Linked DNA regions of Drosophila melanogaster. The protein of the gene in region 1 interacts with the protein of each later gene in a pairwise test. Each region holds a gene or a part of one and is shown on either strand. Other genes may lie near its edges.

Region 1 (7,249 bases):
GGCAGATCTTTTTCACTATTACCCATTGTCCATGGCCTTTAGGTAACTCCTATCGCCAAACTCTATGGACACTGTACCGGTGATGTCGGCCGCTGTCTTTGCTGCCCACCAACCGCCGTGCTTCACGGCATCCTCATCCACTACTACCTTGGCCTTTTTGGAAGATCCAGCCTCATCCTTTTCCTTCTTGCGTTTTTTGCTCTTTCTACAAATCGAGAATTTCAATTGATGCTATTGGCAGATTTGTAGTTACATACTTGAGTTTCTCGCCTTTTAGAACCAATTTCTTAATGCGTGCATGATCGTAGTCTGACATCGTCACAAAATAGGTAAATTGTTGATATAGTTTTGGTTTACAACACAATAAACAAACATGCGATACAACATCGCAGATGAGCTGGTCTATCGGCTATCGATATCTTACCAATAAAATACTGTAAGCGTACATTTTAAAAAGTACGGACTCAAACCATTCATTAACTTGGTAAAAAAATTAAAATCAAATGATTTTTGATCTGTGAGAGATAAGACATATTTCATCTTTCATCACATACATATATTTATTCTCGTAATTCATTATATATTTGCTTACAAAAAGGAAATACAATCACGGCTGCTGGATTTGTTAAACTAAACAAAAGACTTAAACTAAACATTTGACTTAGATACATACTTTTATAAATTATTATTATAAATTATAAATAAATATGTGTAAATAATACGTTTCAAATAGCTTAAATAGGAAACATCTTATTTTCATATACTTTGGAAAAAGCGTTGGCATGGTCACATATAAGCTTGTAAATATGAATAAATACAACAAACAGGATCGTCCGTAAGTAAATAGGAATGCACAAATAAAGTATTCAACTCCATCACATATATCCTTCGACAGAGACATTTTGCCATTGGCCCTGAAATGGAGAGGGTATTTTTTTTTAATTATAAATTCAACCAACCCAATGTTTAGATTGCATACCGCAATGCCAAGGTTCCATCCTACGCCTGCAGGATTTTCCTCTGTAATTCCGCAGCGCCTGCAAATGATACCATTGAGGGAGATGGCCCACACCTCGGAGCCCACGGACACCGAGCGGAAGCCACAATGCTGATCCGTGTGCGGTGGCACATTGGCGGCATTGGGCAGAAACTGCCAGTGGGAGCCCTCAGGGAAAGTCCTCGAAATCTCCTTACGCACAGCCAAACGTTGCTGGTTGTCCAGCGCCCAAATCCCAGCCCGACCCACGCTTATCGCTTTAAAGGTCACACCCGCGGGTGCCTCCACTTGTTGCCAGGCATCGCCGCACGGATTCTGCCTGCTGATGCCATACCGGAAGAACACCATGCCGTTGCGCGCCACAGTCCACACCTGACCTGTGGGCCCCACGCTGATCCCAACTAACGGCTGGTCGCTGGTTATGTGCTCCCAGGCATCGCCACGAGGGTTTAAGCTGCATACACCATGCCGGATGAGGACATCACCATTGGAGGCAATCGCCCAGGCAGCCACTGCTGTGTTTCTCTCACCCGAACAGCTGTGATCCACATCTTCATCCAATACCTAGTAGGAAAATGTTTAAAAAACAACCATGTTGAGAATTTTTTAAGTAGAACCATACCTGCAGGGCAGCATCAAGGATTTTGGACTGACTAAGCTCCTGCCATGGTCCGCTGCTGCTAAGACGACATCGCTTCATCCATCTTCGTCGACGCACGCAATCTGTGAGTTTTTTGTGAGCATGGTAGTTGGCGGGGAAGTCGATGGCGTATTGCCAGCCCTCCTTGTCCGCGCCCCCAGGAATGTTGTAGTCAATGGCCCAATCGGAGATCCATTCGCAGTGCGTAGACAGCAGCTTGGTGTGCTCCTTGCTCCGCTTCTGCCGCCCAGTAGCATCGCTCCACATGTGCCGATCCGTCGGCAGGCTCTTCGCCGTGAAACCACTGATTGGATTCCAACGTTGATTTTCGTACACATAGTAGGTGTGTGTGTCAATCATTGGGTTAATTTTGCCGGACCCCTCCAAGCCCTTTAGGAACATTCCTCCCCAGCCTCCGTTGTAAACCCAGCCAGTGTTGTCACAGGATATGCCCCACACCACATCCACGCCGCTGTTGAAAATCCTCTTAATGTGACCGCCCATTTGGCGCCAGTGCATGCGCTCCATTGAGACAATTAGGGAGGGGCAGCGGTAGAGTACATTGAAAAGCTTAATACGGCCACTCACATAAAGCCGCGTCACGCTTTCCGGATCGATGCGGTACTTGTAGTCGGTATATACGGCATTGTTCACGATGATCAAGTAGTGATCTTGCAGAGCCCTGTAAGGATATTCAAGTATGTATTAGGCATTCGATTTCATTCCCAGGATTCTATTCCTACCTTATTTTCAACGAAAAAGTTGCTCCGGGAGCAAAGGCCATTTTGTCATTGCGAATCTCGTCCAGCCATTCGGACTCCTTCATCGAGTTGAGCACCGTGGTGCGTTCGTTGAAACGGGGATTCAGGTGCAGAGCAATGACCCGATGCTTCTCCACGCGATGAGGCTGAACTTTTACTGCAGAATGCGACTGCAAGTCGAAACGAATCTGATCAGCGTCATCGTACACACAGCCAGATATCTCTAGCTCAGTACCACATGGCATTCTGAAATTAACATATACAGGAGGTAATTATTAAAAAATTAAGCTTTTAGAATTAAATGGAATACGAAGCTTCTGGTAAATTGCCTGCTTGGATAAATTGAACAATTTGAATTCAACAAAACTCCAGCGCTAGATTTATCCATCACTCAAAAATATTTTTCTATCATAGCAGTTTAAACAATATAATACCTACATACTTCACAAAACAATCCTACCACATAAATTTTAATAGAATCTTCGACCGACAGGTAAGTTTTTAAGCCCACTTACCCATTGTAAAGAGTATTGTAGTATGGAGTTTCGCAAGTGGAAACATCCATCTTCTCCACGTATCCCTCGCTGGGTTCACTTGTCTGATGTGCCTTCATGTTGGCGGGATCAAACACAAAGACATCGCCCAACTCGCTGGTTATCCAGATCGCATTGCCAGCCGGTTTTCCCACCATAGTGTTGATCTGGCTACAGACTGACGACAGGTGGGACAACCAGTCCTCCATTTCCGAGTCACTGGAGAACTGTAGCTTAACGGGCGAACAGTTTACGGGAAGATGAGGAGCATGAATAGCGATCCGCGGTGCTCCGGCTTCACTGCAGCACTGAACACAGGTGATGTCTGACAACGGGAACTGAATCTTCGTGGCGGCTCCATCCGGACTAAGTACCGTAAAAGTTCCAGAGTCCCCGGATCGCGAGTTTTCACTACTATTTGTGTCAGTGCCACTGCCACTGCTTACCCACTCAAGTTCGATGATACAATCCTCAAACTCGCCTCCAGGTCGCTGATAGCGCGCATCCGCCGATTTGACCCACGAAGAAAGCTCCACTGCCTTCTCGAACTTGGCCACAGTCTGAAGCTTGGCCAGTTTCTCCTGACGTCGCTGCAACTTGTTCACAATATCCTTTCGCCAATTGGCATTCACGTCCACTTTACTGTCGCTCGTCTGCTCGTTAAACCAATTGGGCATGTTGCTGGCATCCACAGTCACAGCACCTGAAGCTACGCAGCTCCATAGTATCCCGCATTCTGTCCAAAATTGTGATCCCGTATGGTCGTCATCTTCTCCCAGAAACACATCCGATCCATGGTGCGTGGAGTCCGACTCAAACACGGTCGAATCGCTCTCTGGATGCGCTTCAGTGCCCACGACGGACCCAACACTTCGGACGGGAGACCAAGCTCTTGGATTCCTCAGCTGGGTCTCAAACTTGCCAGTTACCACCTCCACCACATCCGCTGCGGGAGCACTGGAAGCATGTGAAGTTTCGCGAAGCGCCGCCGTTCTCTGCTTGTGGCGATCGTTGAGATTCAGACTTCCAATTGTCGGAGGTGAATCGGCACTGAGTTTCCAACGTTCGTTCTTAAGAAGACCAGGTGGACCGCCATTACTAGAGCAGGAGCCCGTAGAGCTGTTGAGCACAGTTTCTATAACTGCACACGTCTCTACCACACCCTTCTCCTTCTCCTTGGAGTACAAATTGGAGAAGCTCTGGTGCTTTGAGCCTGGCGTTGAACTACTTCCGCCGCTTTTACGAGAGACTATGGATAGAGAGCTAGAAGTGCGGCTGATTTGCATGGGACATTGAATTAAACGCCATTTTTTGCCAGTAGGGTCGGCAGAGGTCACCCCAGAGCGGTGGTACAAACAACGGTCAGCGGCTCCAATGGCAAAGACCTGCGAAAGAGTATGTTCATATCTAAGATAATTGGGTAGATCTAACACTGGTTTACCTGATCGTTGGCCGCCACAGAGACCATTGAAATGTTTCCCACCATTTCCACCCAGCCCTTGCCAATGGCCGAATCCTCGCTTATGCCCGCTGCTTCACCCTTGACGCCTCTCCTGAACCAGGCGTGATGATCATTGGTTACACACCACACAGCATCGGTGCCCACGGAAACGTGAACAATGCGCAAGCTACTGGCGGCCACGGGGGTTTTGACATCCAACCACGAGTCACCGACTAGGTTGTCTCTGGTTACACCAGTACGTACGATAACTCGGCCGTTATGGAGTACCGCCCATACCAATCCTGTGGGTCCCACGCTGATCTGCGCGAGTTCACTGCCCGTGGGCGTGGGTACAGCTGTCCAGCGAAGACCCTCGGGCGCCGTTTTGGACACCCCCGTGCGAAACATAGCCCTGCCATGGGCGGTAATGGCCCAGACACACAAAGTGCCGGCAGGAGCGTTGGGAACACAAGTGCCGCCTATAGCCACGTCTATGAAGGGCTCCTGCGTGGGATCCTTGTGTAGTGGTGCCACCGCGCACCAGCTATTCAAGGCTGCATACCTCCTATATCTCACCCACTTGCGTCGTCGCACATACGAGTTCCAAGACTTCTTTGCCGAGTACGTGGCCGGAAAGTCCAGGGCGTACATCCAGCCATCCTCGGTCAGCGGCTGTCCATCGAGCTCTAAGTCCAGGTGCCAGTCGCCGTCCCATTGCCACGCCATCGAGGGCAGTCGGATTTTGTCCACACCACGCTCCACACTGCCATCGGCGGAGGAATATCTGTACCGATCAGTGGGCAGCAGCGTCTTCGAAAATCCTTCGATGGGCAGCCAGCGCTCGTTCTCGTACGACTCCTCCCGAATCCGAATGGGCACGTCCAGACCGTGCACATGAACGTACACCTGGCGGTCGCCGCCAATGGCCCACAAAAAGTTGGGCACAGCGCAGATCTTCTTGAACTCCAATCCCAGATAGGGAAGTTCGCGCCACGCTCCGGAGTTGGTGGACAGCGTGTAGACGCGCCCTTCACTGCTGGCGGCGAATAGGTAGAAGCTCGGCATCCTGAGATCTATTACTAAAGACCAAGGGGCCTCTTTCTGTCTGGCATCGTGTTTACAATCAAATTGGAAAAATTGATTTTTCTGAAGAATAGACCTAGACAGTCAGTGATGGCACACCTGTTTTCCGAGTCCTAAGCGATAGTATCGTTGTGGTTGTTGTGTTTCCACTAAAAACAGCCAAAATGCAAATGTTTAATATTTTATTTTTATATCTTAAAATTGTTGTTTATTTCGAAGCCCGTTTAAAATAAAGCATGTCAGAAAATTATGTGTTAACAAGAATGTGTAATAAGTAATTCCAAGGAAATGCGACAGCCCTGTTAATTCTATAGTGCCGTTAAATTTCGCAAACCAGGGTCTATCAAATCCAAGACACCGATAGTCCTTGCCCCCATCAGTGTTAAATGTATCGATACTATCGCGAGTGGCCAACCCAGCTCTAATTGACGCCAAGAAATTTTGATTGATTTTGAAAAATATGGTAAAAATTGAACCGTTCTTTCCCCTAACTGCACGGGCGGATCCCTTTAACCGAGCGCACCCAGTTTAAGATCCATTTACCGGTCGCAGTTAAAAAGGAAAGCCGTAAACTGAGCCCCTCGGCGTTGCGACGTTCGACGCAGAAAAGCGAGCACGCGCAGGCCAGACGGTCGGTCGGTCGTATCAGCTGCTGGCTGTGGCTCCCGGAGGCCGACCACGGACCAATCCCCCGTAATGGCCGTGCTCCCCGGTCCGTAGTCCCGGTATTGCGAACCGAGTCGAGACCGAGGCCCTTCCAGCAGCCGGTATTTCGTGCTCTGGTGTAGTAAAACATATGTACGCACGCCTACAGAGTACAAACGTTCATCTGGTAGACACACATATATCGACCATATATATACTATAGCCACTATATGTATACCGCGATGTCCTGTGCATCCCGTGAAACCTCTTCGCTGCATCCGCGTATCGGGGGTGGTCGGTCTGCCCGAAAAACTCCCCTAAAAATATCATACCACCAAGTGATTGAGGCTCCATTTTAACCGGATTCTTTCATACCCCACAGATAACTACTTCGGAGCTAAAGTAAACTGGTCATATTGGGAAACATTGCGGTAAGTGCAATTCAAACATTTTCGCTAATAGCGAATGAACTAAGTGTGCTATTCACAGCAAAACTCAAATCCGACGGACGGAACGGACTGACTCTGGAAAACACATCACAATAAGTCATGCCACGGGGAAAACGCCGAGCTGCAGATACTATTAGCGACAACATGGATCATGGTCAACCGAAGAGGGCCCGAACCAGCTACACCAGCATACCCACACAACAGAGCAGCAGGTGAGTGGTGGAAAATAGGAAACAAGAACAAAGGCCCTTTGGTGTTGTATCATCTGTTCCGGGGAAAAGCATCTGGTTTCCGGTGTAGAGATTCCTAAGCCATTGATGCCTGATATATTTCAATGGAACGGCCAGATTTACCCACACCTGGCACTGAAGAATTTGTTATTTTATTAATTAATACGTTATCATTTTCATATTCACATCTTCGCGACGATTTGGTTTCATGGTTTATATACTTTTCATAAAAAAAAAACAAATACTGGCATTTCTGTAAAATGAAAATTGATTCACTTGCTCTATTCATAGATTCACAATAATCATCCTATTATTCACCCGTCTTGTGTTGTATCCAATAATGTTCTTATCCAAGTTATAATTATTATTATGTTATCTCAACATTAATCAAAATCTGTGGCAAAATCGAAAGGCATTCAAAGGCAAAAATTATTAGTCTCTGCCGATATTAAAAAAAAAAAGTTTTTTTT
Region 2 (3,111 bases), on another chromosome or scaffold:
AAGTGCTTGCTGGCCGTTTGATATGCACAGCTGTTGGATGTTTGGTTTTTCGTTCTTATCTGTTTTGATTTGAGATACCCTCGATTCGGATTGCCTTTGCGATCTTTTGTCTTACGTGTTCCATCTGGCCAGTCCGTCTCATTCCGGTTTTCTTGCGTACGTAGTCAAAAGTTTGTGGTTCTCAAGAGCGATAATGGCCCTCTGATAAGGAGTCGACCTGCCACCGTTCAATAGACTCTGTCGTACAGTCAAACCTCCGCCGCAAAACGTACCTTTTTGAAATCTTCGAATTTCCAGCATCTCTATTTTGAACATTGCTAGCGTATTTTTGCAGAGATCTTCAAGCAAAACATATTGGTTCCAAAAGTAACTTAATTAAAAAAGCCATTTCTAAATGAGCGTTGTATATGTTTTATAGGTAGAAAGATTAGAAGTGTTATCTTGATATAACATTTATATTAGCTGAAACATTGAATTCCAATTCTAGTGCTTGATATTGCAGAAATTAATAAAAGATCTATAAAATCAGTTCGCGATGTTCGTCTTGAACAATTCAAACTGTAGACGTTTATATGGTGGCCATCTTGTAACATTGTAGCCATCTATCGCTCGCGAATGGGACGGCACTCTTTACTGGGGTTTTGTCTTTATGTACTCGTGTGTCCGGCACTGATTAGTGGCTCTCCCTTATCGCATATGCACACATATGCTCTCCGCAATGCCAACTTCTTGCGATCACCTTTGAAAATATGCTGACGAAGGCAGGAGGCAAAACGAAAAGCGCAGCGAAAAGTTAACTAGTGGGCATATCTGGGAATAATGAAATACAAGCGACTGATTACACACGAGTGGCGGCTTATAATTATATTGATTTTAATATAAGTTTTAGAGAGACTCATTCAGTCCTCCCAAACAGCAGAAGCCGGAGCACGTAAGCACCGGCGATCTAGCGCCAAAATTAGTTAATATTGGAAAGTGTGCGATTTGGGGGGGATTAAATATCGTAGTTTATGTGATTTGTACAATCGTTATTATCTCTGCATGCCGCGTGTCAAACTTGTGTTATAGATAATCAAAATCCATTTTCGAATTCGATTCGTTTGTTTTGCCACGTTGTTTGTTTCTGTGATTTTGTTTGCCCCCCCAATAGCATGCTGAAATGCAGAAAGTAGAACCATAAACCGAATACCATGATTTCCTATATACCATCCATTCAGACGCGAACCGCTAAAAGCCAAAGAGCCCACAGAACCCAGCCCGTAAATTAAAGCCCCAAACAGAGATTAGATCATGGCTGAGGATCCGGTGAACCAGCAGGCATTCGCTGAGGACGTGGCAGCTGCCGCTGCGGCTGGAGGAGCCGGCGGTTTTGCCGGTCCCGAGCCCGGACATCCCGACTTTAAGATGCCCAGTGCCGAGGAGATCTGGAAGCTGGTCGAGGGCATGGAGGGAATTTCGGACGACGAGCGAGCCGAGCTCCGCGAGAGCATCTTTAACCCGAAGCCGCCGTCGCCGGAGGACTTCATGCGCCAGTACGGGCATCCGGGCCACAGTTCCCGGGAGTACCTGGTGTTCTTCGTGATGCTGGCCCTCATACTCATTGTCTTTGGTAAGCGTCCTCCGGAACGAGCCACTAACGAGTCGTATAACCCTTATCGGGCGCGATATACGCACCCACCTGGGTTTCTGCTTAAAGGGCGATAAGGTTTTAGGAGGCGGCTATGTCGAAGCACTCACTCACTCGCTCACGAGCCACAGCTAGAATGTTTGCTTCGTTTAAAAGCGTTCGATTTTTGATAAGATAACCAGTGGTAAGCGTAGGATCCACCGCAGACATAGGTAGAGTGGAATCCAAAGAGCAGTATTTGCCAGAGACCCATGCCGGGCTGTAGTTGACACACCACTTAGCCCCTTTTCCGAACAACCCAAAACATGAGTTGGTCGGGTTCCAGTGACGAGCTCGGGGTTATTGAGCAGCTGAAAAAGTCCGTGGAGTCGATCGTGGCCAAAACTGGGCCCAGCAGCAAGTTCTCCAAGGATCTCGTCCAGCGGATCGGCGAGATGCAGAGCAAGCTGGAGTCCCTGGCCGAAACGGATCGGCATGTGTTTCTCGCCGAGATGAAGGACAAGTTCCAGCAGACGATTGGCAGAATCGAGGAGCGAATAGTGCAGCACGCCCATTTCGCACAGACCTACTCCAGTTCCATAGTGTCGGCAGTGATCTTTCTCTTGGTCTCCATATTCGGTCTCAGTTCCCTTGATCGCATAATGTATCAACGTCACCTTACTAACCGTCTCCCTTCTTTCCGCATTACAGCTCTCTTTGGCTACAAGCTGTACAAATCCCTGACGGAAAAGGAGCTCAAGAAGCAGGAGAAACTGAAGAGCAAGCAACAGAAGAAGGCCAAGAAGTCAAACTGAAGGAGATGGAGGCGAGGATATCATTGACGTAGTGCACTTTCCGGCCCTGAGACCTTCCATCTTGTTAATCAATACAATCGCCCTGTAAATGACTAAATCATAAACCAGTAAACGTAATAAAATAAAACGTACCCCATAACTCTTTTAAATGCCACGGTAATTGTGTTGTTACGACGAGTCGAATTAATTGCCATTAAAATACGGCATCAGGAAATGCAAATCGGTGTCGTGACCTAACTTGTTGCTGCCATCTAGGCAATCCGTCCAATCCTGGCCTCCGTTGTCATGGGAAACGGGGTCGTTTTGTCGAAGCTTCTCCTGTCAGGCCAGCTATTAATAGTTAAATTCAGTTTCCAGTTACCCAGTTAAGCAGCAACACTCGGAAAGGATCAACAATTTTTGCGGAAATAAAAAACATGTCCTATTCCAGCCGTAAGTTAAAAGCTCAACCATGACTTATCTATTAATCTAATGTGTCAACATGCCCTTCTAGGATTTGGTTTCGACTTCCATCTGCCGGATGAGGGATGGTGCTACCCGAAGAACGACATGCATTTCATCCGCAGCGCGGAATGGGTGCCCGTGGAGAAGGCAGGCGTGGGCCGCTCATTCGCCAATCCCAATGGCGTGATCTATCCGCGGGTGGTAGGCATGATTCCACGCTACGGCGGCCACGTTCCGGGCAACAAA

The links. Proteins that work in one complex are often made in the same cells at the same time.
Region 2: the proteins of Pex23 (region 1) and CG42336 interact in a two-hybrid assay, tested with the Drosophila melanogaster proteins (one large-scale study listed by BioGRID).

What each region holds. Positions count from the first base shown.
Region 1 is NT_037436.4:20,296,585-20,303,833, forward strand, and holds Pex23 (peroxin 23), read right to left. Parts: upstream 5,558-7,249; 5' UTR 5,438-5,557; coding exon 4,373-5,437; exon of another isoform or gene 4,317-4,372; coding exon 2,914-4,316; intron 2,892-2,913; exon of another isoform or gene 2,826-2,891; intron 2,645-2,825; coding exon 2,381-2,644; intron 2,320-2,380; coding exon 1,620-2,319; intron 1,562-1,619; coding exon 980-1,561; intron 915-979; coding exon 876-914; 3' UTR 545-875; downstream 1-544. Other genes in the region: FRG1 (FSHD region gene 1), read right to left, coding at 23-205, 258-316; SCCRO4 (squamous cell carcinoma-related oncogene 4), read left to right, coding at 6,649-6,761. UniProt on the Drosophila melanogaster protein: Involved in peroxisome biogenesis.
Region 2 is NT_033778.4:11,293,992-11,297,102, reverse strand, and holds CG42336 (uncharacterized protein), read left to right. Parts: upstream 1-1,860; 5' UTR 1,861-1,932; coding exon 1,933-2,421; 3' UTR 2,422-2,567; downstream 2,568-3,111. Other genes in the region: CG18336 (uncharacterized protein), read left to right, coding at 2,838-2,853, 2,915-3,111.